2 linked regions of the Mus musculus genome follow. The protein of the gene in region 2 purifies or fractionates together with the protein of the main gene of each other region. This does not show direct contact. Links are inferred from orthologs where the notes say so. Each region holds a gene or a part of one and is shown on either strand. Other genes may lie near its edges.

Region 1 (5,388 bases), on a different chromosome or scaffold from region 2:
TAGCTGCACACCACATTTTAAATTCAAGAAACAATTCTGGAGCTTGTTCCACATAAGGGAAGATATAGATAGCTTTTTTTAAAAAGCTAGCCTACATAGTTCATTATAGTCCATCAATAGATATACTCTACTCAGGAACAGTTAATTCCTAAATTTGTTGTTGTTGTTGTTCCTGTTTGTTCTTGTTTCCTTAAGGGGTACTGGAGATCCTGAACTTAGGGCTTAGGAATGCCAAGCATCAACTCCATCACTAACTCACATCTCCAGCCTACAGTAATTTTTTTTTTTAAACACAACTGACAGTGAAAATGAAAACGTATCTTGGAAGGATCCCCTCCCCCAACCTAATATTACAAATCTCACAAGACTTTTAAAATTTCACATAAAAACTGTTTAATTTAAAATATGGAATTTAATGCGAAAAGGACAGTTTTAAGTTCAGAAACCCAGAAGTCATCCTGAGACTCATAGAGATTTTTAGATTTAAGAAACAATATTTTTACCTGTTTGGCATTTTCTATGTATGCAGCCATATACTCATACGCAGCAGCTTGAGCATTTACTCGAGTTTCTGTGCCCTCTACAGGCAAAGCGAAACTGTCCATGATGATCATGGTCTCGCCGTCGACTTTCCCGAGCATCAAACCCATCACTTCCAAGTTGCCTCCTGACCTGGCATGCATCACCATTTTCAGTAGAGCCAATGCTGAGATTTTGCAGTATTTAAAGTAGTGGTGACTATAAAACAAAATTACACTGTGATTAAGGTTCTTATTTAATGTACAATTTCAGAAGATAGTCTCTGTGAAAATAAGTAAGTTCTGAAGGGATTGATAGTGATGGAAGGGGAGTATGGACCGTGCGTGGGAGTAGAATAAGAGCAGCAAGTATGAGGTACCTGGAGATAACATGTCACAGTCACAGCTCAGCCCCTTGGGTAAAATAAAGAGTCTGGGATAAACTTTAATATACTGCTGAGGTGAGGGAGTAATGATCAAGTCCACAGGCCTTTTTTCTCAATCATCATGGAATTATTATACTTGATTACCTTCTTAGGCCTAGCTTTCTGACCTTAATTTACTGAGTTATTAATTAAGTAATTTATTTATTTATTATCTGTGGTACATGTTTATTAGTGTGCCACCAGATGGCATGTGGAGATGACAGGGACTGTCAGGGGTCTTTCTCTACCTTTTGTTTTGTTTTGTTTTAAGACTGCGTTTTTCTGTATAACCTGGCTGTCCAGTAGTCCAGGCTGACCTTGGAACTTGATCACCCACCTCTGCTGAGATTAAATGTGGGTGTCACCATGCCCAGCTCATTTTCCTCTATTTTATTACTTCATCCCCTTGAGACAGAGAGAGCCTCTTACTGAAAGCTCACTGTTTTGGCTGACTGACCAGCTTACAGACTTCCTTTTCTCTGCCATCCTTCAATACAATGCTAAAAGGTTACACACACACATATCCACACATGGATTTTTACAATAGATGCTGGGGATTTGAACTCAGGTCTGCATGCTTGATAGCAAGTATTATTACCTACAGAGCCAGAGGATTTAATTTCTACAATGTTTGCCTCTGAAATTGCCCTGCTTAGGTCTAAAATCTTACACTGACACTCCCTACCTGAGAGAGTAGGGCCACTTAATGTCTATGTCACATATCTATAAATAGGTATGTCACCTATTAGTATGAAAAGTACACAGTAAGTGCTTAGTCCCACAGACACTAAAACCTAAGGTACTGTTATCAGCCTTATTAACCTGTTTTAAGATATTCTCAAAAAAAGTGTGTTAGCTTGTGGCTTCCTTCTGATAGCATCTTGAGAGTGATCTAGTATCTTTACTTCTTTGACTAACCATTGTATGTGATTAAACTCTTGAACAACAGTTTAAAATCCCTGACATACCCTACATGTTAGGATAGCCATAGATGGTGAAGAAGTCTTGAGTTTACATCCACCTAAATCACGCAGCTTGCTTTAGAAACAGCTAAGTAATCTGTGTGGGGCACTCAGCGTTGCCATGGCCCACTGGATGCATGCAACCAAATATAGCTTTTGTTAGATTTCAACCACAAGCTCAAAGTTACTGAGACCATCTTGGAAATCAAGATATAAATTAAAAAACTGGCTTTTCCATCTACTTGGGAAAAAGATAAAAACAACCATTACTATGCTCTCATTACATATGGCTCATCCAGAACTTCTTAATAAATTACCTTATCTCATCTTCATGACATCATTAATAGCTACGTTTAACCTTTATCTTATAGATAAGTTTAGATACTTTAGTTTCCTAATGCCAGTCAACAGTCTAAATGACAGTTATTGAGACCTGATTTTCAGTCTATTGAACCTAAGCTCATTGCTATAGTATGACCATGAGGTGTGTTTCTGAATGTATTTGCTTATTTTTCTATTTACAGAAAGGGAAAGAATCCTGGATTGTCAAGATTATTAAAAGACACGAAAATCTTCAGGCCAGTGCCAGGCCCACAGTAAGAACTCAATAAACACTGAAAACAGAGTACTGACGGTTAAAGCCAGCTGTGCCATCAGAACAAAACACCTGGAGACAGCAAGACAGTCTACTCAGCAACCTTTTGTAATTTTTTTCTTCACTCTCCTTAATACAATTTGCTCTAAAGAATCATTTGACTTGTCGTCAATCCCAAAGATACATGGATTTGGCTGGGGAAAATGCTTCTAAGCTCTCTCTTATAATTCCTGGTTTACATGAATTGTAGTAGTATTGTAGGGAACTGCTAAGAGGATTTGGTATGTGTCTAAAGAGCTGAAAAAAAACCAAACCAATCAATCCAAGAGCTCATGGATTTTTTTTTTTTTTTTAAATCAATGCTCTGCTCATTCGATTTATAAAAACAGCCACGCTCTTCAGTTTGGGAATCTACTGAAGGCTGCAACTAACTGCATGTAGCCACCAGGTTCAAGGCAGAGTGTGTGAGATTTACAAAAATAATCATGTTGACAAAAGTCGCACCCCAAGTCAGCCCTTTACACGCCCTGAAGGCAAGAAACTTTCTAAAAGGGGAATCGAAGCAGGCCCTAGAGGACAGGTAAGGCTCTACTGACAAGGCAGACTAAGGCCACTGTGGCCAATATTCGGTCGACGCCCCACAGAAAGCCAAGCTCACCACACCCTTCATCTCCCACCCCTCGCGGGTCTCTCACAGTCCCGCCATCCCTGCCCTCCCCTGCGTCTCGCCAGGGACCTCCTCACTCCTTAGTCCAGGGTTTCGCCGCCAGGATTTCTTGTTGTTGTTTTTTGTCATATTTGTAGATTTCATCGATACTCTGCGCTTCCTGCATGTTGTTGGCCAATTCCCAGGTTTTCTGGGCCATACCACTCCCGGAAGCTGCCATGGCCGAGGCACCGGAGAAGCTGTCGCTCCACAATCAAGATGCAACTTTCTTCTACTGGGCCTCAGCGTGCGGGCTTTGGACCTTCCCCACCAGGGTGCACACTCACTAGACTCTCAAGGCAGCCATGACACTTGAGACCGGAGGTGACGTTGGTCCAGACCATTCGCGCGCTGGGGCGCGGCGGCGGCGCAGCGACATAGAAAACACTTCCTTAGGGTTGGCTCGGCTCGGCTCGGCTAAGATCAGTCTTGCCGGTGAAACGAGAACATGCTGGCTCGGAAATCCGTTCGTGTGAACTGCGAGGGACGCAAAGCCTCGGTGTGGGAATGGTACAGCCTTTCGCGCCGGAAGGCGGGACTATTGGCCTGCCAGGAAGGAGTCGGCCGGCTCGGCTCGTACTGCGCAGACTCAGATGCCACCATATTGTGTGTAGGAGGAAACTTGAGTTTGGGGAATTATGTTTATGTGAGTGTAGGTGCTTCAAACGAAATAAATTGTTTGGAATACTAAATATCTCTAGAGAAACAGAGGTGTAAGTATCTCCGGATTATTGGTTTTGGAGGGGGAAGATCGCGTGACTCTTTTAAGATAATTTGCGGTGTGTTAAGCCTCCGGGGTTTGTGGTTGGCGTTCCGCTTTTGTGTTTTCGCTACTGTTGCGAGGTGGCAAGCAAAAGTTACCGGTTGCTAAGATTAACTTTTTTAGGGACTTTATAGGGTAACATTTTATACAAGTGTTAGGAGCGGTGAATGCCTTAGGCGCTACTTTTTAAAAAAGGTTTGTCTCAGTGCAGATTTAATCTCCGCAACCTGTGCCTTCCAGCAGTTAATGTGAAATTTGTTTCAGTCGTATTTTTAGGTTTTCTTCCCTCACATTCTCATCCCCAATTGCCCACTAGACTGTAAGTTGAAGGCATGCATGAAATTTGTGTTTTATTTAATTCTAATATATTTAATTTTTTTCGTAACACGGTTCTTAAAGACTTCTCCAGCTTCATCATCTTCTTTTAGCTCCCCCAACCCAGTTTTTCATTCTATTAGAACTTTTTTCCTTGGCTTAGTAATATATTAGTTGTTAGGCATTGCTTGAAATGCACTTCTTGACATTTCTGCTTTAGAGCACACAGATTTTAAAAAGCACAGCTCGGAGATGCCTTTCCTTAACTCTTCGTCAGTAACTGCTCCTTCACAGGAATTCGAAGGCTCTGTAGCTGCTTCACCTGGACCCCGGGGTTTTTGCAGTTCTGGAACTATGTAGTCCAGGCTGGCCTCAAACTCGAGAGCTGCCTGCTTGAGTGCTGGGATTCAAGGCGTGCACCACTACTGCCCGTCTGTATCCTCTTCTAATGCAGGTGCTTTTGCCTGGGCTGCAGGAGACCCTGTTTCAAAAAGTCAAGGAGCTGGGCAAACAAAACAGAGCAAGGACATTGCAACATTCTTCTAATTCCAGTACTTGGGAGGTGGAGAATGGAGAATCAAGAGTTCCAACCCCGCTTTCTCCCTGGACTATTGGAGACAAAATAACGAAACCAAAAATAAAAATAGAATCTTCTTAAAGTATAACTTCGGGCACACTAGGGACATTAGAGTACATTAGTATCTTAAGTTCTTTCTGAGAAGCTTGTGTAAGCTTGTTCCAGTGGTCACAATACACAGCCACTCGAAACATACAGAATAACATGTTGAAATGGTAATGAAAGCCCAGGACAGAGAGTTGACCAGACTGCTGGTGCGGACATTCCTTCTCTCACATCCACACTTCGTGACTGGAGACCGTCCTGGGCTTGGATGGCTGGGATTTAGCCTGGGAGTGGTCACATTTCAGGAATCCCTGGGCGCAGCAGCGGGTGCACCGGGTGGCCTCCGGGGCTGCAGGGGGCGCCCTCGGCCGCGCGGCCTCCGCCAGCAGCCCGAGGGGCGGGGCCGCGCCTGGCCGTTGGTGGAGGGCGGGCGGGGGGCTGGGCCTGGGAGGCGGAGTCCTGAGCGGGCGACCGGTTTTTAG
Region 2 (4,683 bases):
TCTTCCTTTTCAAAGTGTGTGTCCCTAAAACTTCATGTTCACCTAAAATACATTTGAAAGTGCAAATAGTACATCTTAAATTGTTGGCTAGATACTAGATCAGGAGTGTTTTTAAAAAATACTTTTTAAATTATTTAAATTATTGATATCCTATAGTAGGTACAGGTTAGTGAAAATATATAATTGCATAATTCTATATAACATGTTGTTTTGTTATTGTCATTATATAATTATGTCTTGATATATAATTGTGTAATACTATGTTGTTTTGTTGTTGTTATTAAGACTGGGTCTCTCTGTGTAGTCCTGGCTCTTCTGGAATTTGTTCTGTAGACCGGGCTGGCCTCAAACTCAAAAGACCCACCCATCTCTGTCTCTCCAGTGCTGGGACTAAAGGTGTGCACCACAACTGCCTGGCTGTTTTGGCAACTCTAACAAAGCATTTTTCCTGCTCAATAGTGTGGGGCATAAAAATTACTTAAATCGTATCCAGTACCGTGTAGTAACCTTTCTAATTATTAAATTCTTTGTTTGGGTACCTTAATACCAATGCACAATGATGCAGTGGCAAGCAAGAATTTTTGCAAAAGACTTAGAGCAAAGGCCAGTCAGTGCACAGTAACTACTCAGGCTGCAATGACTGGCATTTTGAAACTAGGAATGAAATTCCAGCTAGGTGTCTTAGTCAGTGGTCTATTGCTGTGAAGAGACACCATGACCAAGGCAACTCTTATAAAAGAAACATTTAATTGGGGTTTGCTTACTGTTCAGGGGTTCAATCCATTATCATGGTGGGAAGCATGATGATGTGCAAAGGCCACAACTTCTAATAGTGCTACCCTCCCATGAGCCTACAGGGGCATTTTCATTCACACCACTACACTGGGCAACTGCTATACCGCTGAGTTATCCCCTGCCCAACTCTCTAAATATTAGTTAAAATTAGAAGTGCATAAAAGCTAAACTTTAATTAGCTGGAACTTTTGTTCTAAAGTAGTATCTCAAGTTTTAGAGAAAAAGAGAGGTGACAAATAGGTAAACAAAAAGGATAAATTTATTTTAAAAATTCCAGGTGATGTCCCAATGTCAGTGAGTGGTTCCGTATCTTGTTCCTTCCATGACTACATTCAGTTACAGTTGTTCAGTAAAGCACAAGGCATGCGAATGCCCCAATGGTCAGAAAGCACTAACTTACCTCTGGCATGCAACACTGGTTAAGGAATGGTTACTACACAGTCTTTACTTCTCTTCAGTTAAGCAGAATCACACATTCCATGGGCATTCCCGCTAACTGAGGCTTAGACCCATAAGATCATAGTACCAGAGCAGACTGAAAACAGTTCCCTTTCTTCAACAACTTCAAGAGATCCTGGCCACCAACACATCACCTCCCTGCCATCTTGAAAATACAAAATATTACTTTTGATGAAAACTTTTATATCCTATTTAGAAAAATTCTTAAGTTGATACTTAAAAGAATTCTTATTTTTAATAATTTCCCACAACTATCTGATAGACTGATAGACCTTAAGCTTAATTATACAAGGGTTTTTTTGTAAGATAATCATTTTCAAGGGAAAATATTATCTTACTTGTATTTTAAAAATCTGCTTTATATAAAAATGTAGAAATGTCACACTGCCAAATATCCCTTTGATCCACTCTTACTGTAGCATTTTTACTTCTTGGGTGGAACTATGTAGATGACACAAAGCCTTCTTCCTCTTCAGCAGGAGTGACTGGCTGGACATGGACAGCTTTATGGTTCAGCGCAGCTGTTAGGGATCTTGGTATTCTACCCCCTTCTTGCTGTGAAGGGCATTGCAGTGCTGCAGTGGCCATCTGTTGGCATCTGTCACATCTCAGTCATCTGGATCACTGCAGCACCCATGACTGGCTTAGTGGGATGGGAGTGATAAAGAATCCATCTCAGATAATCCCTTCGATCTGTTTATATCACATTGTGAATTTATACAAACTCCACTTCCAGCTGTAAAACAGTGCTATGTGATGCACTTCTATACTGTTACAGAATACCTTCCCTGTAAATGCACTGAAACTTTTCTTGAGTGTTTTCTAGGCATTATTCCAAAAGGTAATGACCACATATTTGAAAACCCCAAATATAAAGTCAGTTTTCTTAATTTTCTGAAATTAGTTATTTGAGTTAAAAAGAATTTTGTAGGAATACTCACCCATCTCATCTAACTTTCAAAACAGTTAAAACAAAAGTTTTAAAAATCAAACACCCACATCTGCTATTATGACAAGAATCTCTCAATTCCCAAACTACTGAAAGATCACGAGTCAGCGGATCTACGAAATCACACAAGACGAAGCAGAAAAGACGGCAATTTACACACACATCCAGTTCTCTTTGCTTCGAATCATGCAGAGATTTAAATTAACTATTTTACTTCTAAGAAACTAAAATGTTTCTTAATCTGTAATTATAAATACTCAAGACACTCAAACTATTTGTGGCCAGTTGTTTATGCTTTTGAGATTAGACTGAATGGTTAACACTAGATTATGTATAAAATATTATTTCTGGTATTTGTCCATCTTCTATTGATGTGCCATTGTTATTGCCAGGGGAACTGAAAAATAGGAAAACAGTCTTGCTTGCAGCAGGGGTCTCATGCACTACTTTCTTCAGTCCTTTTGTGCCATAGTGAGAATCTGGGCCCTAAATGAAAATAAACAAGTCAGTGGCTGTCAGTTGAGAAGCATCCCTGTGTTCTGAGGTGACTAATGGTCTGCCCTATTCATTACAGACTCAGTATAAAATCTCATGCAGGCATCTAACAAAATATGAGGGTTTGCTTAAAAACAATTTTAATAACAATATGAAGTTCAGCCATTAACAACTGTGAAAAAGGTTTAAGAAAAACAAACTGTGGAAGTTCTATTTTCTTTAAACAAAGGGGAAGGAAGTTCTTGGGAAGACCTTTTCTCTCAGAATGGACGAGTCCTGGGCTGCACTGAGTGCAGCAGAGCATCTTAGCTCAGGCTTCCTCTTCCCCTAAGAGGCTCCCATGCTAGTGACTCTAAAACATGGAAGCCAGGAGCCTCCTGAGTGCATAGCAGGCACAGCCTGTGGGGCTGCGCGGCTCTTACCTTGAGTGTTGCGCACGCTGTGTAACAGACATTGGGCAGGATCTCTATAGGTTCTTTGAACATGACCCTGAATGTGTTAGCAGTCCCATCACAACTAAATCCAGTATCATTCTGTCCCAAGGTTTGTTTTTTCTCATATTCAATGATCTGTGATTTTTAAAAGAGAAGTTACATTTAAGTTAAATTGTAACAGTCTTGTGGGAAAGAATATGAAGCTTTTAGAAATTGTAACATAAACGTTTCTCTACTTATCTTTAATTATCAAAGATTTTTAAAGCATAAGATGACCAGAAAATGGCTCTGTAACTCACACATCACAAGAACAGGAAAGACATCGAACAACGAACGGGCTTGGCTACAGAAGGATTCCATAAAGAAAAGCAGAGTTTGGTGTACGAACTTTAGAATGTGGCCTTGCGATGTTAGAGGGAAGAATCTGCCCTCCTTGTTTAGCCCATGTCTTTTCCCTACAATAATCTCAACACTTTCAGCTTCAGTATTTACTGAAATTAAAATGTCCTTAAATGCACTGTCATTCTGTGAATAAGTTCAGTTAGTTCTACCGTTACGTGCCAAGTGGTAAACAGAGTACTAAGGGACCCATCCAGGAGGGTCCAGGCAACAGGAAACATGCTGGCAGTGCCAGTTCCGATGAAAGGAGACGGATGGATGGACGGACAGAGAGTTAACTACATTTGCTGAAGAGGGCTGAAGCTTCCTGGGGGACAGCTTAACAAACTCAAGCCATAGCTTATGGAGTGACTCCTTACAAGCCTGCCTTTCCGCCAGCATTCTAGCAAACAATAATGAAATGAGCAAAAGCTACCTAAAGTTAAGGTCAGAACAGTGTTTCCTCTGTAAGGAGGGTGGAAGGATCACTAAGAGTTCTAGATGTTGTTTTGTCTTGTTCTTTGACTAGGCATTAGTTATACAGGTCTTTGTGTATTAGTTGTACAGTCTGTGAAAACTAAGACACGTACCGTTTATTAATATAACCTGCCTCCTTCCCAAGTTTTTGTTTGTTTCTTTAAAGACAAGGTCTCACTATGCAGTTCTGGCTGCAGTGGAACTCTCAAGGGCTGGGAATAGAGGTGTCCACCACCACACTCAGTGAACATACCCTTCAAATATCTTCTATCAGTTCAGTAGAAAAAGAGGTCATACCATTATGAGGTGTCATTATCAGCATACAGATATTTCCAACACCTTCTTGTGTTGGTTACCATCAATTTACATTACTTCCTAGTCAGTACTGCTGACCCATGGAATTTTGGGGAGTTGAGATGGAGTGTGTATGTGATGTAACTGCTACAGTCCTAAGAGTCCTAAGAGTCACTATCTTTCCTTAATAATCCCCTGCTAATGGCAGGGGAGATATGGATCAACTTTCAAAAATGCCCTTTTGTTACACAAGTCTCTAATACTGTCAGTTATGTGTTAATAGAGCAGAAGCAAAGCAGTCTCTTGGTAGTGCACGGCTCTCGCTTCAGAGGGAAGGTAAAGTGTATCTCAAACAAAGCAAGCACACAGAGATGAACTTTCACATAGAAAATGCCACCTGTC

Evidence for each region. Proteins that work in one complex are often made in the same cells at the same time.
Region 1: the proteins of Btbd1 (region 2) and Cops5 purify together in Homo sapiens (affinity purification with mass spectrometry; 3 studies listed by BioGRID and IntAct, counting the BioPlex papers as one, with this or other methods). This does not show direct contact. The link is inferred for Mus musculus from reciprocal best matches to the Homo sapiens genes BTBD1 and COPS5.

Annotation. Positions count from the first base shown.
Region 1 is NC_000067.6:10,034,426-10,039,813, forward strand, and holds the start of Cops5 (COP9 signalosome complex subunit 5), read right to left. Parts: upstream 3,714-5,388; 5' UTR 3,586-3,713; coding exon of another isoform or gene 3,494-3,585; 5' UTR 3,388-3,493; coding exon 3,245-3,387; exon of another isoform or gene 3,237-3,244; intron 739-3,236; coding exon 504-738; intron 1-503. Other genes in the region: Cspp1 (centrosome and spindle pole associated protein 1), read left to right, coding at 3,714-3,919. UniProt on the Homo sapiens protein: Probable protease subunit of the COP9 signalosome complex (CSN), a complex involved in various cellular and developmental processes.
Region 2 is NC_000073.6:81,791,038-81,795,720, forward strand, and holds the end of Btbd1 (BTB/POZ domain-containing protein 1), read right to left. Parts: intron 3,268-4,683; coding exon 3,121-3,267; intron 2,690-3,120; coding exon 2,531-2,689; 3' UTR 1,037-2,530; downstream 1-1,036.